Linked DNA regions of Caenorhabditis elegans. The protein of the gene in region 3 interacts with the protein of the main gene of each other region in a pairwise test. Each region holds a gene or a part of one and is shown on either strand. Other genes may lie near its edges.

Region 1 (5,646 bases), on a different chromosome or scaffold from region 3:
AGCTGATTCAATGCAGAAGTATTGTAAAATCTAGACAATCCAATTTTTTATCACATGCTGGGCCAATCAATCATCGCTGTATGTTTTAAATGTACAGAGGCGGTCGTTGGGCTCGTCATCAGACCTTCGTGAGTCATGAGCTCCGCCTTTACTATTCTATCCACCACCTACATATATTACAGTTTCATTTGCACACGGCGGCTTGTCATTTTCCTGTCTATTGCTATTTCGTTGTTAGAAACTTTTTCAAATCGAGGATTTTGAGACTAGAATGCTTGAATTGTACTAGCATACTGGCCCCCAAATCTTCGCTTAGAAATACAGTTCACAATTATTTTAATGGTGAGTAAAGTAAGTAAAGGGATAGTTCCCGATCGAATATCAGTTGGGGTATTTACAAAAAGACAAAATTGTAATGCCCTGAATGATGTTCAATCGGTGATGAATCTCATTTTTTATTGTGTTTTGGAAAATAAATTGTTAAGAATTTATTGCAAGAGAAAAATAACATGAAACATTCTTTTCAGTTTACGTGCAGAAAAAATTGTGTTTTGCAGGAAAAGGCAGAAAAATACAGAATACGGAATAATGAAAATGTTTATTATGTTGCAAGTCTACAAAATTAGGGAACAGTACACTCAGGATAGTATGCGCAACCGTCGCGAATGTTCTGTCATGATATTAACATAAGATTATTGGATAACGCGAGATCTGTGATCTTAATTTCAAAGCAGATCTTTGGTAAGATGATTGATAATACACAATTTGTTCTTTATGCAAAATGTTGATGTAGAGTTCAAAGAGCGTGTAGAGTTCAAAGAGCTTCATCATTGGACCCAATTGGAACGATCCCAAAAAACATGCGCAGGGAACGGTTCAACTTACCACTGTGATGTTAGTTTCGAGTAGAAAATATAATGAAAACACATAGACTTCGTAATTTGATAATATTTTTGATTACTTCTGGTGTATGATACATGCTTAGCTTCAATAGTTTGAGTTTATTGGTTTCAGCTTGTAGACTTGTGACATTCTTCAAAATTTATCAAAGGAAGAAAGTAAACATAAAATTGTAATGTTTGTCTGATTTATATTAAAAAAAGCTACGCATTTTCAGTCATTCAAAATACACGCCTATGAATTTCAAACGTGTTTTCCTAAAACTGTGATAAAATATTTGTTATATATTTATTATTGAGATCTATATGCGTGTGTTTCTGAAAATGTAACATTTTGAAATAGGCGTTAAGTCAATAGATATATTTTAAGCCAACCGAAAAATTACCTCAAAATTAGATTTGACGTTCAGTCAGTCTGGATGCGACTGAAACTTTCCACTTAGTTTTTTTGCGCTGAAAAGATATCATGCTTATTGACTAATTCATTAGCAATATTTAAAACAATTGTTGTGATACACTTTATCATTTATGAAGTGATTTTTGTAACATGCCATTATAAAACCAATTAATACTACCAAAACCCAAACATGTGGGACCTAGGTTACTCGTTTGCGTAAGGACTCAAAAATTATTCAGACCTTCAAATTTGCTTGCAATTGAAAAAAAGTTGGAAAATCAAAAAAATTTAGATAATATTTAAATGTTTACAGTGATTTTTTGGCACTTTAATAATGTTTTCAGTCATTTTTTGGCACTTTGATAATGTTTTCAGTCATTTAGAACAAAAAAAATCCCACAGAGACAAACGCTACGTTACTTCTATAAAACTCAAATATTTATTTCAAGTTGCGAGTGCCCTTTTGATTAGCAAGTGTTTTTTTGTGACAGAATAACACACCCGCAATTACTTTGTGTAACGAATAAACGAGAGAGCAGATTCTGCTCTTTGTCTCGAGAGCGCATTACACCCAGAGAGAAAGCAAAGAGAAAAAGATCCCATCAACAGTGAGAAGGTGCCGCGATCAGTCGAACTGATTTCCTATTTTCTCTTGTTTATTCACCTATTATTCGTGTTGACCATGCCCAAGGCTATTGTACAAGGACTGACTCCAGATGGAGAAAAAAAGAAAGCTCGAGTGTATACAGATGGATGGTAAAGCACAATATTGTTTTTAAGCGTTAAGCGTTAAAATTGAAAACTTTCAGCTTTGACTTTGTACATTTTGCAAATGCCAGATTATTATGGCCAGCAAAACAATACGGAAAAAAGCTGATTGTTGGTATTCATTCAGATGACGAGGTATATGTGTTTTTTGTTATAACAATCAATTATCATTTCATTTCTCTACATTTCAAATATATCAAAACTTGTGTATGTATATTGTTTTTTAGCTTGACAATAATGGAATTTTACCAATTTTCACCGATGAGGAAAGATACAGACTTATTTCGGCAATTCGATGGGTCGATGAAGTATTTATTTATTTAAAAATCAAATTTTCTACATATTATTCTTTAGGCATTTGAAGACGCGCCATTTCAACCCGAGATGTCAACGCTAAACCAGCTAGATTGTGATATTATTGCAATACCAGGCAAGTTGGTTAGATCATAAACTCAGAGACCCCAGATGTTGAGCCATCTGGTGTCAACTACCCACTTTTCCAGATATTAGCCACCTGACAACTGTTGAAACTGCAAGGTACGAGGAGATTCGGGGCAGCGAACGGGCAAAACAATATGTAATTTCGGAGCATGTAACGGACCAGGTACGTGCTTGATAAACAAGTTAAGCACATTAAACGCAATTTATTGAGTAGTCTAAAATGTTGGCAATTCTCCTGGAAGGAAAAATGTAACAAGATATTATATTTTTCGTAGATGTCTCTAGGATGAATAGGTGTACTACACCTTCAATATACGATTTCAGTACTTGCGAACATATATGTTTTTATTAACAGGATTATAAATTATTTTAGTTATTGAGAAATTGTTTGAAACATCTTCTACAGTAATTTTCAATAGTTGCTTGACAGTGTTCTTACGTCTAAGTAATTTCAACCTTTCATTTTAATAAAACCTTATCTGTATCATTTGTATAATGAAGGAAATCGCTGGTCGTCTCATGCTTGTCACAAAAAAGCATCACATGGAAACCGATTCAATCTTGGATTTCAAAAGCGCTATTCTTCCGTTTGCCCTGGTAAGTTATACTTCAGTTGCTTATGACAAAACACATGTTGCAGGATCCGTTGAGCAACGAGCCTGTCATATCGGTGTCCCTTTTCAAACAAAACTATACGTTTGCACCTGTCGTCATCGGAAGGAAACCGAAAGTAACAGACAAGGTGAGCTGGAGGGTTTTTAGAATAAAAAATCGCGTAAAATTATGAATAGTTGTCAAAAATTTCGAATTAAAAAAATAGGTTTCATATCAAAAAAAAAACTAGATACGGGTCCAAACATGCAATTATGTGAAAAATGAATTTGTCTCAAAACGTGAATACCCATGTCGTAAAAATTAAAATTAGTCCAGCAAAAATTGCTCCTTTTATAAAAATTGTCTGATACTTTTTCAATTTCTTTATACTTATTTTAAAACAAACTTGCCGGAAATGATGTCCACTTTCAAACAATAAATGAAATGTTTATGAAATTGATTAAACATAACATGAAATCTTCCATTTACAAATTTTTCAAATTGCCTGTGAAATCCACATGAATCACTATCGTCATGCATCTGGTTTTCAAAAAAATATCCCTTATAAATTCCGGAACATTAAAGTATTTTTTTAATACACGGTTTCAAGCTGACTCCCCAAGCTTCACGTTATCTAAAAATATTCATAGCTATGAGAGGCTACTGACGCAAGTCGTTCAAAGTTAATTTATTATTTGCATCCTCATAATTTATAACTTGCACTACTTTCAAGTTGTTCGTAATTCTCAAGAGTACTTGAGCTTTCCTGAAAATATGACAAAGTGGTATTTTCCATGATATGTCATTACTCATTTCTGAAATCACGTTTTTTCTTTTAAATTGAACAGGTGAAAATTGAAATCAATACCGTATGACTAGTGTTTCGAACAATCATTCCTCGAACAATCATTCCTGGAAAACGACACATTGTCTTCGCACAAAATACAATTAGAATTTCAGGTTGTTTATGTTAGCGGAGCGTTCGATTTATTTCATGCGGGGCACCTGTCTTTTTTGGAAGCAGCGAAAGATCTTGGAGACTATCTGATTGTTGGAATTGTGGGAGATGATGTAAGATTGTAGATGATCTTTGAAGTTGCAAATAAAAATTTATTTTCAGGACGTAAATGAAGAAAAAGGAACAATTTTCCCGGTTATGAACCTTCTCGAAAGAACACTGAACATATCATCACTGAAAGTAAGGAGCGAATTTTGAAATAGTGAACGTTTTAAGATAACTGTTTCAGATTGTTGATGAAGTATTTGTTGGTGTTCCGGCAGTGACAAATTCCAAGTTTGTGAATTTGATTCGAGCATCGGTTTGGTTTTGAATTTGTTAAAAAATATAACGCTGAGCAGCTCAAATTAAACAAAATGTTCTCAAATTAAAATAAAAGGACACAGATTCACGGAAAGAATCAAATTTAAAGTAGTGACTGGTGCCAAATAAGCAAATAACGTAGTAAACTTTACCAACCTTTTTTGACAATTGTTTATTTTGTTCAAATAAGTGGTAATACAGTTTATGCCAGTTTGTTTAGAAAAAATCCTTCAAACGTCATCATGTTTTGGAAATAAAAGAATTCAATTTCGGACTCCAGGTTGTCATTTTATTTCACTGTATTTTTTCAGAAAATCGCAGTGTACTCTGAAACCCACCCACGGCGGTTTGCAGACTGCACGTATCATAGAATTATAGAAGAAGTAACACCAGATTATGATGCAACATGTGAAGAAATACTGGAGCGAATCACGTCCAGAAAGTAATTTCATTCTTCAATTTTGCATTTTTTATACCCTTTTGAACATTTTTCATTCAGGATTGCATCATCGGATGACGACGAAATCGCAATGTTCAACGCAGTTCCATTGAATAACAACCAACATTGACTTTCAAATATTTGGAATGAATGTGTAATTAGATGCAAGAGTTCAAGAAACTTATTTCTAGTCGAGATTTTTTTCATCAAATAAAAATTTGCATCTTTTGATCTTTTGATTAATTTTTGTTTTGAACCGTTCTGCAATAATGATGTGTGTTTTTGTTGTAACGTTTTGGATGACGAAAAATAGAGAGAAAAACGGAAGCAATTGAAACAAGTCTTGAATTTCAATTGTCAGAGGGCACTTTGTCATTTGAAACAAAATATCAAGACTGCCCATGTGTTTGGTGGGTGAGGGCAACGATAGCACCGTTGTCGGTACGAACCTCATTTGAATTCCAGGCATTCTAGCACGTTGCAGTTTTTTCGAAAAAGGAGAAGAAACGTTTTTTAAAGAGTTTCTTGATGTTTCAAGTTTGCAAAATTCTAAATTGAAATATCACATATTTTCTAAAACTTGTTATACAAGATTTCAAACTGGCTTAAATTTTAGTGAAAGCATACGAGGAAAGAACAACAAAAACTCCATTGGAAAATAGCCCAGAAGGAGGCGGAGCCTATTATTGATTTTCCTTACACCACTTTTTATTTCATTCTCAACATCGTGTATTTAAACTAAAATTACCGTATTTATCCGTCGTTGTCTGACTTTGTGAAAAACGTG
Region 2 (4,708 bases), on a different chromosome or scaffold from region 3:
GAACTTCTTAATATAAAAACTCGAATTCTTCATCAAAATTCTAGTCAAATTGGCCCCCATATTGAGCCATTTCCTATAAGTTTGAAAAATAGGTCGCGGTGGCTTCGCTGGGTAGAGGTTGGGCTGACGCGCGGAAGACAGGGGTTCAATCCCCGCTGTAGGTGAATATTTTTGTGAGACTTTTTCCATCTAACAAGAAAAGAATCTCGAGTTGGAAACTAGGTTGAACCCTGTATGTGAAATTTTTGGCCCAAAAAACCGGAAATTTTCAATTTTCGCCGCGATGGCTCAGTGGCTAACAGGTTTGGCTGTGAATCTCGACACCAGGGTTCGACCCCAGCCGGTCCCAAATTTTTTTTCCGGTACATTTTTGATCATATGAAATGGGTAAATATTGTCGAAAAAAATTTCCAAAAAAAAATTAACAACAAATCCTCACAGCTAATACTTAAGCAACAAAGCCGCTCACCTATAAATTATCTTAATGAAAATGAAAAAAGAAAATCCGCCCCGGCCGGCACAGAAGAAAAAAATTATTTAACAGATTGAGTTCACGGCTCCGCTAAACACCGATTATCCCCCGGTAGCGGGGGATATGATTTTTGGGGATTTTTCAAGGATTTTCTATACTTTCCATATTTTGATGAAAAAAATTTTACTCCATCAGTGTAACTTTTTTGACAAAATTTGTGAGAGTTACATTTTTGTAAATTTTTTCCAAAATAATGAAAAAAATGTGTGTAATGTCAAAATTACTTTAAAACAGGGGAAACTATGTTAAATTAAGCTGTGCAAAAATGTTCTGGTGCACGTTGGGGTCGAGCCCTTGACCTTCTGCGCCATAGCCTAACATGTACCCAGTTCAGCACACATTTTCACGAAATTTCTAAAAAATTTCAAAATTATCTTAATTAGGCCAATATGGGAGTCACGTTGAAATTTAATGGAGAATTCGAATTTGACGTTTAATTTACTAAAATTTAATTTTTTCAACGAAAATTACTCGACACATGGAAAGTGTTGAAAACTAGTTTCTAGCTCGAAATTTTGTATTTTTGTCACTCAAAAAATTGCAACAAAAACTTATGACCAAGCTGGGACTCGAACCCCTGACCTTCTGCACCATAACCCAGCCTCTACCCGATTGAGCCACTTCGCCCCATTTTCCGAAATTTTTGACAATTTAAAAACTACCGAAATAGGTCAATATGGGGGTCATATTGACGGAAATTTTTTGTAAAATTCGAATTTTTAGGTTTAAAACGTTTAAACCCAAATGCTAAAGACTTAAATGTTCGTTTTCCTCAAAAGTTGTGACCTTTTTTTTTGCAACTTTGTTATACCAAAACCGCAACACATAGTACAGTTCCCCCCGCCCCCAAAATTCGTTCCGCGTTGCTATTAGCATACAATGCCCCCCACGGTCACTCACCTCTGTGTGCACTCTCCCGGTTTCGCGCACTATTTCCCACGCCGCGCGCCACACCGCTTGAAACATATTTCCAGTTGGTCAGCAGCGGCTGACTGACCGGCGGCGCGGTGATAAGGGGGAGAGTCTCCAGGAATAACGGTCTGAAACACCTCTCACTGTACTACTATATTATTCTCTCTTGTTTCTGTATACTCATGTACACTTTGCCAAAGTGCTCTGATCACCCACATCGTCCCCTTATTCTAGAAAATTCCACGTCATCAACTGGGCTAATATTTGCTGAGAGTCAAGCTTCAGCATCCCATCAAACTTGGATTAATATGGTGAGTTTTCTGAGGAAACGTTCATTTTTGTACATTTTTTAGGTTTTACTGAAGAACTAGCACTCAAATCGAAAATATTTCGGTACTTGTGTATTACATGTCCTCATTTTTAAATTAAATTAAACGGTTACTCGTGAATTTTTAGCTGCGAATCTCCAAAACCAAGCTCACGGCGAGCTCTCAAAGATCCTGAAAATAGCACTTTAACGAAGTAGTGAAGGGCCAATTTTCCAAATTTACTTTGGTAGCTCATATCTCAGCGGATAAATTTTTTACCGAAAAGTCATCAACTAATATGTTGTTGATATTTTTGTAAAGAACAAGTTTGTAGTTGAAAGTTTTTGTCAAAAAAATTGTTGTTTCAGATAGAAGCGCATGAAGTGCGGCAACTGCTGCTATTGCGATTTTAATGCTTTTATCTAAAACAAAAAACTTTTGGTAAAAACTTTTAACTACAAACTTGTTCTTTACAAAAAGTTCAACAATTTATCAGTTGATGACTTTTCTTTGAAAAATTTATCCGCAGAGATATGAGCTACCAAAGTGAATAAGGAAAATTGCTTGTTTTGATCGTAAAGTGCTTCGTTACAGTGCTATTTTAGGATATTTGAGAGCTCGCCGTGAGCTTGGTTCTGGAGATTCGCAGCTATCGAATGGCACAGGTTTCATATGCAAGTCCGATGGGCACCTTCTGACGGTTCCCTAGTTAGGAAATTTTATTTCCTAAGCCTAAAAATCCAAAAGTGTGGTTCACGTTTTTATTTTGCACAACTTAAAAAATTACTATAAAAATGAGGGCATGTAATACACAAGTACCAATATTTCAATTAAAATGTATTCAACGTTAAATTCTACACCAATTTACCGCACAATACAAAACAATTTCTGAAAAAAACTTTTTTTCGGGACAATTGTTTAAAAAATTTTTAAAGGCTAATTTTTCAATTTTTCAATTATTTTATTAAAACATTCGAATCTTCCGTCTAAAATCTCTAAAATCCGTTAATTTACCCCCATATTGCCCTATTTCCGATAAGTTAAATTTGGTCTCGGTGGCTCAGTCGGGTATCTGTTGGTCTAGACTATGACGCAGAAGACCGGGGTTCTAGTCCGGTAGGAGGGATTTTCTTTTTATTTTGATTTCTTGTACAAAATAACATGTAAAAGTCTAAATTATGGGAGTTAAAAAAAGATTTACGAAAAAAAAATTCTAAAATGAAATTCCTGTCACTCTAAAACTGTTTCAACCATCAAAACAGTTATAGTAAAAAATAAAAACCACAACTGGGCTCGAACCCTCGACCTTCTGACTCAGCCTAACCTCTGACCAGCTGAGCCACTGGGACCCAATTTTTTGACTTTTCTAAAAATTTCAAAATTTTTGTAAATTGGTCAATATGGGTGTCAACTTAACGGAAATTTCATGGAGAATTCGAATTTGACAATGAATATCTTTTAAAAAAATTCTCTGAATTTAAAGTTTGGAAAAATTGTCTTAAACAGGCTAATTAACTGGAAAGTTTATGAAAAATTATAATTTTCTTATTCCAGACGCTGGGTGACCCTTGCTCCGTCGAGCAACCCCCACCTCCACCCATCGATTTCTCACGGAGCCTAATTGCTCCGACCGCTATCAAACAAGAATCTCACCTAATTCCCTCAACGCCAGGTAATATTCTAATTAATTTTTTTCGAATAAAAAATAAATATAAATATGTTCAGGCACCCCAACAGCTTTCCAACCCCCACAGCATGCGAACACACCAATCCCTGGTATTCAGCCGAATTTGTTCAATCCGGCAATAATGGCGGCTCAACTAAACGTATTCAGCAACCCACAGTTGATGGCAATGATGCAGGTAAACTATTTTCTGCAAAAATGAGAATTCGGCAAAACTGGCAGTGCAAAAATAAAAAAATAAACTTCCCATGCCGGGAATCGAACCCGGGCCGCGTGGGTGAAAACCACGAATCCTAACCACTAGACCACATGGGAGGACGAAACGAGGAGGTCTCGAGTGCCTAGAGAAGAGTGTGCGGGAGGGGCCTGCTGACTGTAGCGGAAAAAGTTATATGGCGGGGGCAAAAAGAATGTCCAATTTTTTTCGAAAAAAAAACGAAATATCTCTCAAATTCTCGACCCTAATGAAAAATTACTATGTGTCTATGTGTGTGGAAGGTCATTCGATAACCTTTTTTTTCCCTCAAAAAAATATCATGAAAGGTTTGATCTCGTTTTCAAAAATATTTTTTAACTTTTGCCCCAAAATTTGTTTTTTTTTTGTTAAATTCTCCCTTAAATTTTTGAATTTCCAGGCTACCAGAAACCCATTGTTAGGACACCCGTCAGTTGTCGGTCCACCAATGATGCCAAATATCATTCAACAGCTAAATGCCCTTCGAAATGTTCAGGTAAAAAAAATGTTGCTCAAAGAACTTTTTTTCAAAAAAATTTTCCAATTTTTCCGATTTTCTAGGATTCCTTTTTATTTTAACACACTTTAACTATCCAAACAAACCTTGAGAAAAACATTTTCCCTTACTTGGGCTCGAACCCCGGTCTTGTGCGCTACAGCCCAACCTCTACCCAGTTGCGCCACTTCGATCCATTTTCAAAAATTTTAAAATAATTAGAATCCGGTCATTATGGGGGTCAAATTAACGGAAATTGCACGCAGAATCCGAATTTCGACATGAAAAACAATGAAAATCAATGCCTCAACCTAAAAAAACACAAAATTTTAACTAGAATTAAAACAATTTTAGGTTAGGACTTGGAGTTTTTCAAATCATTTACTAAATTTTCTGCGTATACCTAATATTCCAATACCCTTTTTTCCAAAAGTTTGGACTACAAGGACAGTGTCGCGAGCGCGCGCGCTCTCTCTAAAAACAGGTTTTGATCACCGGTCGAATTGTAGCTCCGCCCACTTTCCGGGGTCCTCAGGTGACC
Region 3 (3,432 bases):
CTACTTGAATAATTTGGGAGAGAATAAAAATTAGATTTCTCAAAAATAAATTGTTTTCTTTCATTGATTCAATGTTGAATTCATTTTACCGTCATATTTAAACTTCCAATTACATATCATCGTTTTCTTAGTCACTGTTATATCCGTGTTTTGCAGGTTCTTCCATCTTCAGAAATTTATAAATTACCTCCATCCCCGAGGCCCGGGCCCTCTATTTTTTTTAGATAAAGTTTAAAAGTTTTAGTTGTTAGAACACAATTGGTAGATTTTTTGAAATCTGAAAGAACTCAAAATTTGCAACAAAACGGCTACCGTGATTTTTGAAAAAGTAAAAAAAAGTATCTCTCCTTAGAACATACACCAAATATGTTCTACAAAGGAGCAATACCCCTATCATTGCCTTCGTTTCGAAAATCAATTCTAAATTGTAACAATTCTAAAATTGTGGTAGCTGGTAAATTTACCCAGTTTCAATTAAAAGGAAGCCAGTAATAGTCCAAGGAAACAACATACAAAGTATAAAAAGTTTATAAGAAGTTTTGTCTCTAAAAAGTTAAGATGACTCCAATGGGCACATAACACTTCAGGAGAACTTTGATTCATAAACCTTACAAAACAAATATCAAAACATTTTTATTCAATCTAGACAGTGCTATTCATGACATCTTGCTGAATTCTTATCATCACTTGACCTTGCGAAGAGCTTTTCCTTCATGATCATGTCCGATCTCGTGAGTTTGAGTTTGCTCGATGATAGAAACACGGCGAGCATTTGGACCGGTAGACATTGCACTCTTCGCTGGAGGCTTCAGTCCTGGAAGAGCTTGACGATATTGCGAAGCAATGCCTTTCACATCTTCGTTCATTTGGACTGATGGTGGTTGCATGAGATTGGTAGCCAACGCCTGTTTCGCCCATTGCTTGGCATCGATCGAATCAGGGCGCTCGACGACAAAAGTGACTTTTCCTTTCTCTTGGATATTCTTGACGAGAAGATCTCTGGCAACATCCTTGTCACTGACTGGAATTCCATCAACATCACACAAATGATCTCCAAGAACAAGACACTTCTCGGCTAGTGATCCAGGATCAACACGTGAAACAAGCACACGGTTCTAAAATAGACATATGAACTTCCTCCAATCTTTTAATTTCTTACCTGGAAATGCTTGATTCCCAAACCAAGTTTTGGTCCATTTTGAACCCAGACAAGGGTTGCCAACTCATAAACGTATCCCTCACGGCGTTGAATGATCTTTGCACGATCCTCAGGAATATGAACACGAGCTTCTAACTCTTCAGCCTTTTTTTCGTCACGGTTCACCGTGATTTTTGCACATGGAGCAGCAAAGCGAAGCGCACGGAAAAAGTCGTTACAATCCTTGCAATTTTGTCCGTTCACTTTTTTAACTTGGTCACCAATCTGTAAATCATTCTGTATAAAAAAGATTTGAACATTTCAAAAACTCACTCTCAATTTTCCTTCAGAAATGGTTCCAGCCTGAATCTTAGTGATAACGAGCTTGTCATTTGGAGTTGCACCAAGTGGTTCTCCTTCCTCCATGTCGATACAAATCTCGATCATCTTCTCGGAACCCATTCTTCTGTTCCTTTTCTTCTTTGCTGCTTTGCCGATTCAAAAGGCGATTGATTCGATTTCTTGCGAAATTTGATTGAGAGTGGCGAGAATTGGACGTTTTATACTGAAATACTTGGACATAAAAAATAAGGTCTTGGGGACATGTTACGTATAAATATAGAGTTTAAGTTCGAGAAAATATTTTAAATTGGAAAATTTTTACGAGTTTATTTGCGAAACTTGTCAAACAAAATTTGACCTTCCAAAAAGCGAAATTGGATTGCGTCTTTTGCTTAAAATTTCAGTTACCTAACTTATAAACATGGCCTAATAGAGTAAATACTCAAAATCTCTTTAGATTTTTGAAATTTTTCAGTCTTGGTATATTGATTGTTTTTGGGGAATAAAATATTTAAATAAAATAACTAAATCATAACAAAGATATAAAACTTGTAGGAAACAGCATTTTGGTTTGAAATTGTAATTATGATAGGTTTTCCATTTATTAAACTTAAAATAAACGTTTTACTCGGAAATAGAAAAGAAACAAATTTAAATATTAACGTAACCCCAATTTAAAAGAAAAGAAACAAATAAATTTGTTCAAAAATACCTGATAATTGAGTCAAAAATCAATTTATTTTCAACTTTTCAAAAGGTTTACAATATTGATTCAACTGCCAAACAAAAGAAAACAGAATCAAAAATCGAAAAATGGAGATGTCAACGAAGGCAATTTCAATGAAAGCACCAAACACAGAACAATCAAAAGATGTTGTTGTAAGAGAAGTATTACCTGGAAATGGAATAACAACTGGAGGATCAAGAGAAGGATCAAAAGAATCTGCAAATCCACCTGGAACACCTCCACCGCCAGAAGAGAAGCCGAAAGAGCCTATGGTTGATGTTCCAGTCGTTCAAATTACTCCAGAGGTTTTTTTGGATTTTTTTTCTAGACATCAACATTTATTTCTTGTTTAGATTAAAGGCTGTCAATTCTACCATGGAATAATTCCACGTGTCGATGCTGAGTTGTCACTTCGTTACGTAGGTGATTATCTCCTGAGAAGAGCGGAACCACGTGAAAATGCGGGTGGACAATTTCTGATAATTTCTGTAAAAAGAGAAGCTGGATTTGTTCATGTTCCAATAAGTCAAGACAAAGAAGGTGCAAAACAGTTTTATTTTATGCCAACACTCAAGGAAAACACTGTTTTAGATTTGATTGATGTCCATCTGTACGTTTATTCTTTTTTTTTTTAATTTAATGATTAATTAAATTATGTAAGATATTTCAGTGCTCGTGCGCAACCAGTATGCGTTCAGTGGAATGTGTATCTTCGTAAACCAGTCCTCCGAGCAACATGGATTATTCCACACGAGGACGTGATCTTGTATCGAAAAATCGGATCTGGAGCCTTCGGAGAGGTTTTTCTTGCAAGAATGGTTGATCCAACAAGTGAATATGTGCTGGATTGTGCTGTCAAGAAATTGAAACAGGTTTAGTCTAGAGTGATACTCTAAAAAATAATGTTTCAACAATTGTTTGCTTCTTTTGATATATCATTTTACAATATTATACAGATGTGAAATTTCAAGAGTACTGCAAATTCAAACTCTCATTGCTGCGATATTTTCAATGATTTTTTAAATAGTTTTTATCATTATTTGCAACTATGAAAACTCCGCAGCTACGAGAAGTTGGAAGTTCAAATATTTTTTAAACACTGTCGTGTCGAGACCGGGAACTGTAGTTCTACCCTCAAAGTACCCAAAAACCTCAAAGTTTCGCGTCTGGGTAATGATCCACATAAATTGTACAAGTTCTCAGGCTGATTCACAGACATTGACGA
Region 4 (4,587 bases), on a different chromosome or scaffold from region 3:
TTTTAAACGATTGAATTTGGATTTTTAATAAAAAAAATTGATGGAAAAATCACATTTTCAAATTTCTAACAAAAACAATGGCGGGAAATTCAAATTCAAATTTCTCACTTTCAGGACAAAACGGAGGTATTCTGTGCGACCCGTCAGGTGATAAACGTGCAACATGTCTAAACATGGACATCGGGCTCAACTGTGGATCCAAGTTTATAAAAGACATAAATGCGTGGGTTTATATTCCAAAAAGCACAAAAAAATAATAAATGGGCGGAGCTTTTTATAGATTTTTTTAAAGCATGCAAAAAATTAATTTAGTTTAGTTCATAACATTTTTTTGTAAAATTTTTTTTGAATAAAGTTAAAATTTTTTAGCCAAAAAAACTTATTCGTCAATAAATACTAAATACTTAAAAGGCCCTGTTACCAAAGTAAAAAAAATTTAAACTTGATCACCAACTTTTCAGCATTGGAAAGCATTGGAAAGAAGCTGTTCACTCCATTCACTCCATTGTCCCGCTTCTCCCCCAAAAAACCAACTGCGGCTCAGATTCCTGCGGTATTCCATACTCGAAAGTTTACGAGGTTATTTTTTAATGCTTAACGAATTTTATGATTATAATTTTTAAATTTTTCAGTATGATTTCAATGGTGTTGAACAGAATGTCAACCGCGTTGTGGAGATTCTCAAGAAATTATGACCGCCTGATTTTCATATTTTGACCTAATAAATATTAAGCATAAAATGTTTGAACTTGGCATATTATAATACAAAAACAAAAATTGAAAGAGCCAAGAAATGGGCGGAGCCTATTATTGATTATCCTTGTATTTTGCAAAAATTGTTGACAGATGATTTTTTTTCCACACTAACTCTATTGGGAGTTTTTCAACAATTTGATATCCAAAAAAAAGAGGAAAATCCGCTAACAATGTGAAAAACTAGCATCATAATTTGAATTGCCGCGCAGTTTCCTGGCGTTCCAGAATGATCTATTTGTATTTGAAAGAAGACCTTTGAAATAGGCATCTCAAAATTTGCCGAGCTTGGCAAATTCGGCAAATTTCTGTTTCCAATAATTGCCGAGCACGGCAAACTCGGCATAATCGGCAAATTTGCCTGGCTTCGCAAACTCGGAAAAATCTAAGAATTTTGATATTTTTTGGAGCACAAAAATTACTGTTACACTAAGAACACGTTTGCTTGGTTGGAAATGTCCGTGTGGTTCAATTTCATGCCAGTTTACTAGATTTTTGGAGCCGAATCAAGAGTTTTAGTAATTGTTTTTCTGTTCAACTTTTGGTGTACGCGGCAAATCCCGAAATTTGCCGAACTCGGCAAACAGCAAAATATGAAACGTTTATCACAGAACTTGTTAGGGGATTTTTCAAATATATATATATTTTTTTAATTCTTGGAAAAAGCTTGTCTACCTCGAAATACCCTAAAATCATTCAAAAATTTTAAATATTACCATTGAGAGCAAATTTACGGGCCTCTGAAATAGTGGAAAAATGAAAAATTAACTGAAAGTTAATACGAAAATTTTCAAGCTTGTAAAAGATTTTTGGTTGTTCCGGAAATCGGATAATCGGAAAACAGCCACCCTTGTTTCTGACTAATGAGCTAAGAAATTGATTGGTACTTCCATAGTTGATGAATGTTATCAGTAAAATGGGTTTGGCAATGCTTTTGTTATTCCACCGTGATATAAACTGAAAAGCACAACTGATAAGATGAGGCACCTGAGTGTCTAGACATGGCAACGGAAGTGGGCGGGATTGGAATTTTTGAGACGTGGCTTAAGTTGTATAAAACTGACCGGCTAAATTTTAATTTCAGTGAGTTTTTGAGTTTTCCAATTCTCACCCAAATTCCACATTTTATGCATCGCCTAAGTTTTTTTTTTAATTTTAATTTTTTTTTCCAGATCCCGAATGAAAATTCTCTTCAACTCAATTGCCCTCGTGGTCCTGGCCACCATTGTCCAAGCGGAGTTTTCGGACAGTTTCCGTAACTACTTTGCTGGTCAACCGGAATTGCTGAAAGTTTTGTCTAGAAACGACCTTTTTGGAGCTATTGGAAGTTTTGGAGGTGGAAGGCATGTTGGAGGTACTCAAACAAGGTAAGTTCGGTTTTCCTGGGGCAACCAGATTTTTCAAAATTTGCTAACAGCTTCTCAAAAATTTTCCGCAACATTTTCTAATCTTTCTAGTGATTATCAAACTTCCTAGTATTTTTCAATTTTTTTCGATTTTCCTAGACAATTTTCAAAAGTTTCTGATATTTTCTAGTATTTCTGAAGTCTTCCATCAGTTCACGGAATTTTTTAAAATTTTCAGAACTTTATAAACTTACTAGAAGTTCCTTAAATCATTAAAAAAGTTTGTAAACCTTCCAGAAGATTTTTCAAAAATTTTTCAGAACTTTCTAGACAATTCTCCAATTTACTAGAAAATTTGTGAATTTTCTTCAATTGTTTTTAGAATTATTTCGAACGTTTAGAAATCCATCATAAATTTTTAAAAGAAATTTTTGATTTTTTTTTAATTTTCCAAGTTTTAAAAATTTTTGGAATTTTTCAAAATTTCCCAAACCCTCTAGATAGTTCTTTGAAAAAATTATTGTCCTGAAATTTTTTTCAAAAATAAAAACATGAAAGATATTTCCAGAACCATTTATTTTAAAAATTTAATGAAGAAGAATTTTTTAAAGAATCCAAATAAAAATTTTTACATTTTTCAGAAGAGTCCCTCTTATCATCGTACACGGAGGAGGCCTCAGTGCACAGCAATATATAAAATACAAAGACGAATTCATAAAAAGAGGATATAGTGCTGAAACCGTCTACGCAACGTCGTGGGGCATTCCAGCACACACTTATGAACCAAATCTTGAGATGACGTGTGAATATGTGAAACAAATCAGAAAACTTATTATCGCCGTTTCAAAGTTCACGAATAATAGGGTTAATATTGTGGCATATGGAACAGGATCCCCGATTGCAAGAAAAGCGGTGATTGGAGGAAACTGCGTGGATACTAATGAAGATCTGGGAGTTCCACTGACGGCGTCAGTTAGAGCATTTGTTTCTGTTAGAGGTATATGATTTTGAAAGCTGAAAAAATAATCGTAAAATAAAAATTGAAACTGATTTTTCCCAAAAATTTGGCGAATAGTCAAAACTTAATTTTTTTTTAACTTTTTAAATTTTATTTTCCAAAGAACATTTCCCAACTTCCGAATGCAAAATTTAGGTTTTTTTTTTTTTCCAAAAAAATTTTTACGTGTTTTCTTTTTTTCTAAACAAAAACTTGGTGGAAAAATTTAAGTTTTCAACAACATTTTGCCAGATCATTCAAGTTCAAATTCAAATTCAAAATTCATATTTTCTGGACAAAACGGAGGTATTCTGTGCGACCCGTCAGGTGATAAACGTGCAACATGTCTAAACATGGACATCGGGCTCAACTGTGGATCCAAGTTTATAAGAGACATTAATGCGTGAGTTTATGTCCCCAAAAAACACCCTTATTTGATTTTTTTTTTAGATTCCTATACTTTTAAAAATTAAAGAAAAAATCAATAATATTTGGAATTTAAATAATTTTGAAAAAACTCGCCGATTATCGATTTCTTAAAAATTTCCGTATTCCTCATTATTCTTACCAATTTGTTTCATAAAATTTATCTTGAAAAATATTTTTAACAGCATTAAAAAATTTGAATTTTTACCTAAAATTTTTTTTTTTCGAAAATTCTTTAGATACTGTTTTTTTGTTGTTCAAAATGTATTTTTACACTACCTAGACCAAATTTAATTTTTTTTTCTGAAGTTAAACATTTTCACAACCTACGTTTCAGCATAGACAAGCGAGTAGCCCTTTTCCACATTGACTCCATTGTCCCGCTTCTCCTCCAAAAAACCAGCTGTGGCTCAGATCCCTACACCATTCCATACTCGAAAGTTTACGAGGTTATTTTTTAATGCTTAACGAATTTTATGATTATAATTTTTAAATTTTTCAGTATGATTTCAATGGTGTTGAACAGAATGTCAACCGCGTTGTGGAGATTCTCAAGAAATGATGACCGCCTGATTTTCATATTTTTACCTAATAAATATTCAGCATAAAATGTTTGAACTTGGCATATTACAAAAGCAAAAATTGAATGAAGATATGGGTGGAGCCTATTATTGATTTTTTTTCGGATTGTGTTAAAATTGTATTCTTTTGGAATTTTGTGCAAATTTTTGTTTTGGTTAGGTCTGGCAAGCTATTTTTTTCGCAAATTTTTGAAAAATTGCACTTTTGGCTCAACTGGTAACACGGACGACTATGGAGAAATAGGTCGGAGGTTCGACCCACGAGTGTGGTAAAAAATGTTGTTTTATTTTTTATGTTTGTAGTTGATATTTTAATTTCAAAATCCTAAATCTGGAAAAAAAAATTTTTTTTAATTTTCAACCAATTTTTCCCATAAACCCCTATTTTTTATTGCATGGAACTAGATTATCCATAGCAAACAAATGTTTTTATTATCAGCAGTTGTTCCAATACTATCACTTTTCACTTTCTTTTTTGTTGGTG

The links.
Region 1: the proteins of smz-2 (region 3) and pcyt-2.2 interact in a two-hybrid assay, tested with the Caenorhabditis elegans proteins (one large-scale study listed by BioGRID).
Region 2: the proteins of smz-2 (region 3) and nhr-41 interact in a two-hybrid assay, tested with the Caenorhabditis elegans proteins (one large-scale study listed by BioGRID).
Region 4: the proteins of smz-2 (region 3) and lips-11 interact in a two-hybrid assay, tested with the Caenorhabditis elegans proteins (one large-scale study listed by BioGRID).

What each region holds. Positions count from the first base shown.
Region 1 is NC_003284.9:7,882,391-7,888,036, forward strand, and holds pcyt-2.2 (ethanolamine-phosphate cytidylyltransferase), read left to right. Parts: upstream 1-1,934; 5' UTR 1,935-1,978; coding exon 1,979-2,052; intron 2,053-2,105; coding exon 2,106-2,199; intron 2,200-2,291; coding exon 2,292-2,372; intron 2,373-2,418; coding exon 2,419-2,494; intron 2,495-2,567; coding exon 2,568-2,668; intron 2,669-3,006; coding exon 3,007-3,102; intron 3,103-3,145; coding exon 3,146-3,247; intron 3,248-4,059; coding exon 4,060-4,170; intron 4,171-4,219; coding exon 4,220-4,297; intron 4,298-4,346; coding exon 4,347-4,418; intron 4,419-4,731; coding exon 4,732-4,862; intron 4,863-4,919; coding exon 4,920-4,989; 3' UTR 4,990-5,089; downstream 5,090-5,646.
Region 2 is NC_003282.8:1,384,537-1,389,244, forward strand, and holds the start of nhr-41 (Nuclear Hormone Receptor family), read left to right. Parts: upstream 1-1,678; 5' UTR 1,679-1,752; coding exon 1,753-1,755; intron 1,756-3,306; coding exon 3,307-3,424; intron 3,425-3,477; coding exon 3,478-3,614; intron 3,615-3,679; exon of another isoform or gene 3,680-3,751; intron 3,752-4,071; coding exon 4,072-4,167; intron 4,168-4,708.
Region 3 is NC_003279.8:6,872,085-6,875,516, forward strand, and holds smz-2 (PDZ domain-containing protein), read right to left. Parts: upstream 1,674-3,432; 5' UTR 1,601-1,673; coding exon 1,472-1,600; intron 1,424-1,471; coding exon 1,160-1,423; intron 1,116-1,159; coding exon 684-1,115; 3' UTR 523-683; downstream 1-522. Other genes in the region: T21G5.12 (Lipoprotein), read left to right, coding at 1-34; T21G5.1 (Tyrosine-protein kinase), read left to right, coding at 2,294-2,512, 2,561-2,817, 2,878-3,079.
Region 4 is NC_003280.10:1,108,338-1,112,924, reverse strand, and holds lips-11 (LIPaSe related), read left to right. Parts: upstream 1-1,923; 5' UTR 1,924-1,932; coding exon 1,933-2,120; intron 2,121-2,740; coding exon 2,741-3,096; intron 3,097-3,348; coding exon 3,349-3,499; intron 3,500-3,859; coding exon 3,860-3,971; intron 3,972-4,024; coding exon 4,025-4,084; downstream 4,085-4,587. Other genes in the region: lips-12 (LIPaSe related), read left to right, coding at 115-223, 462-579, 633-695.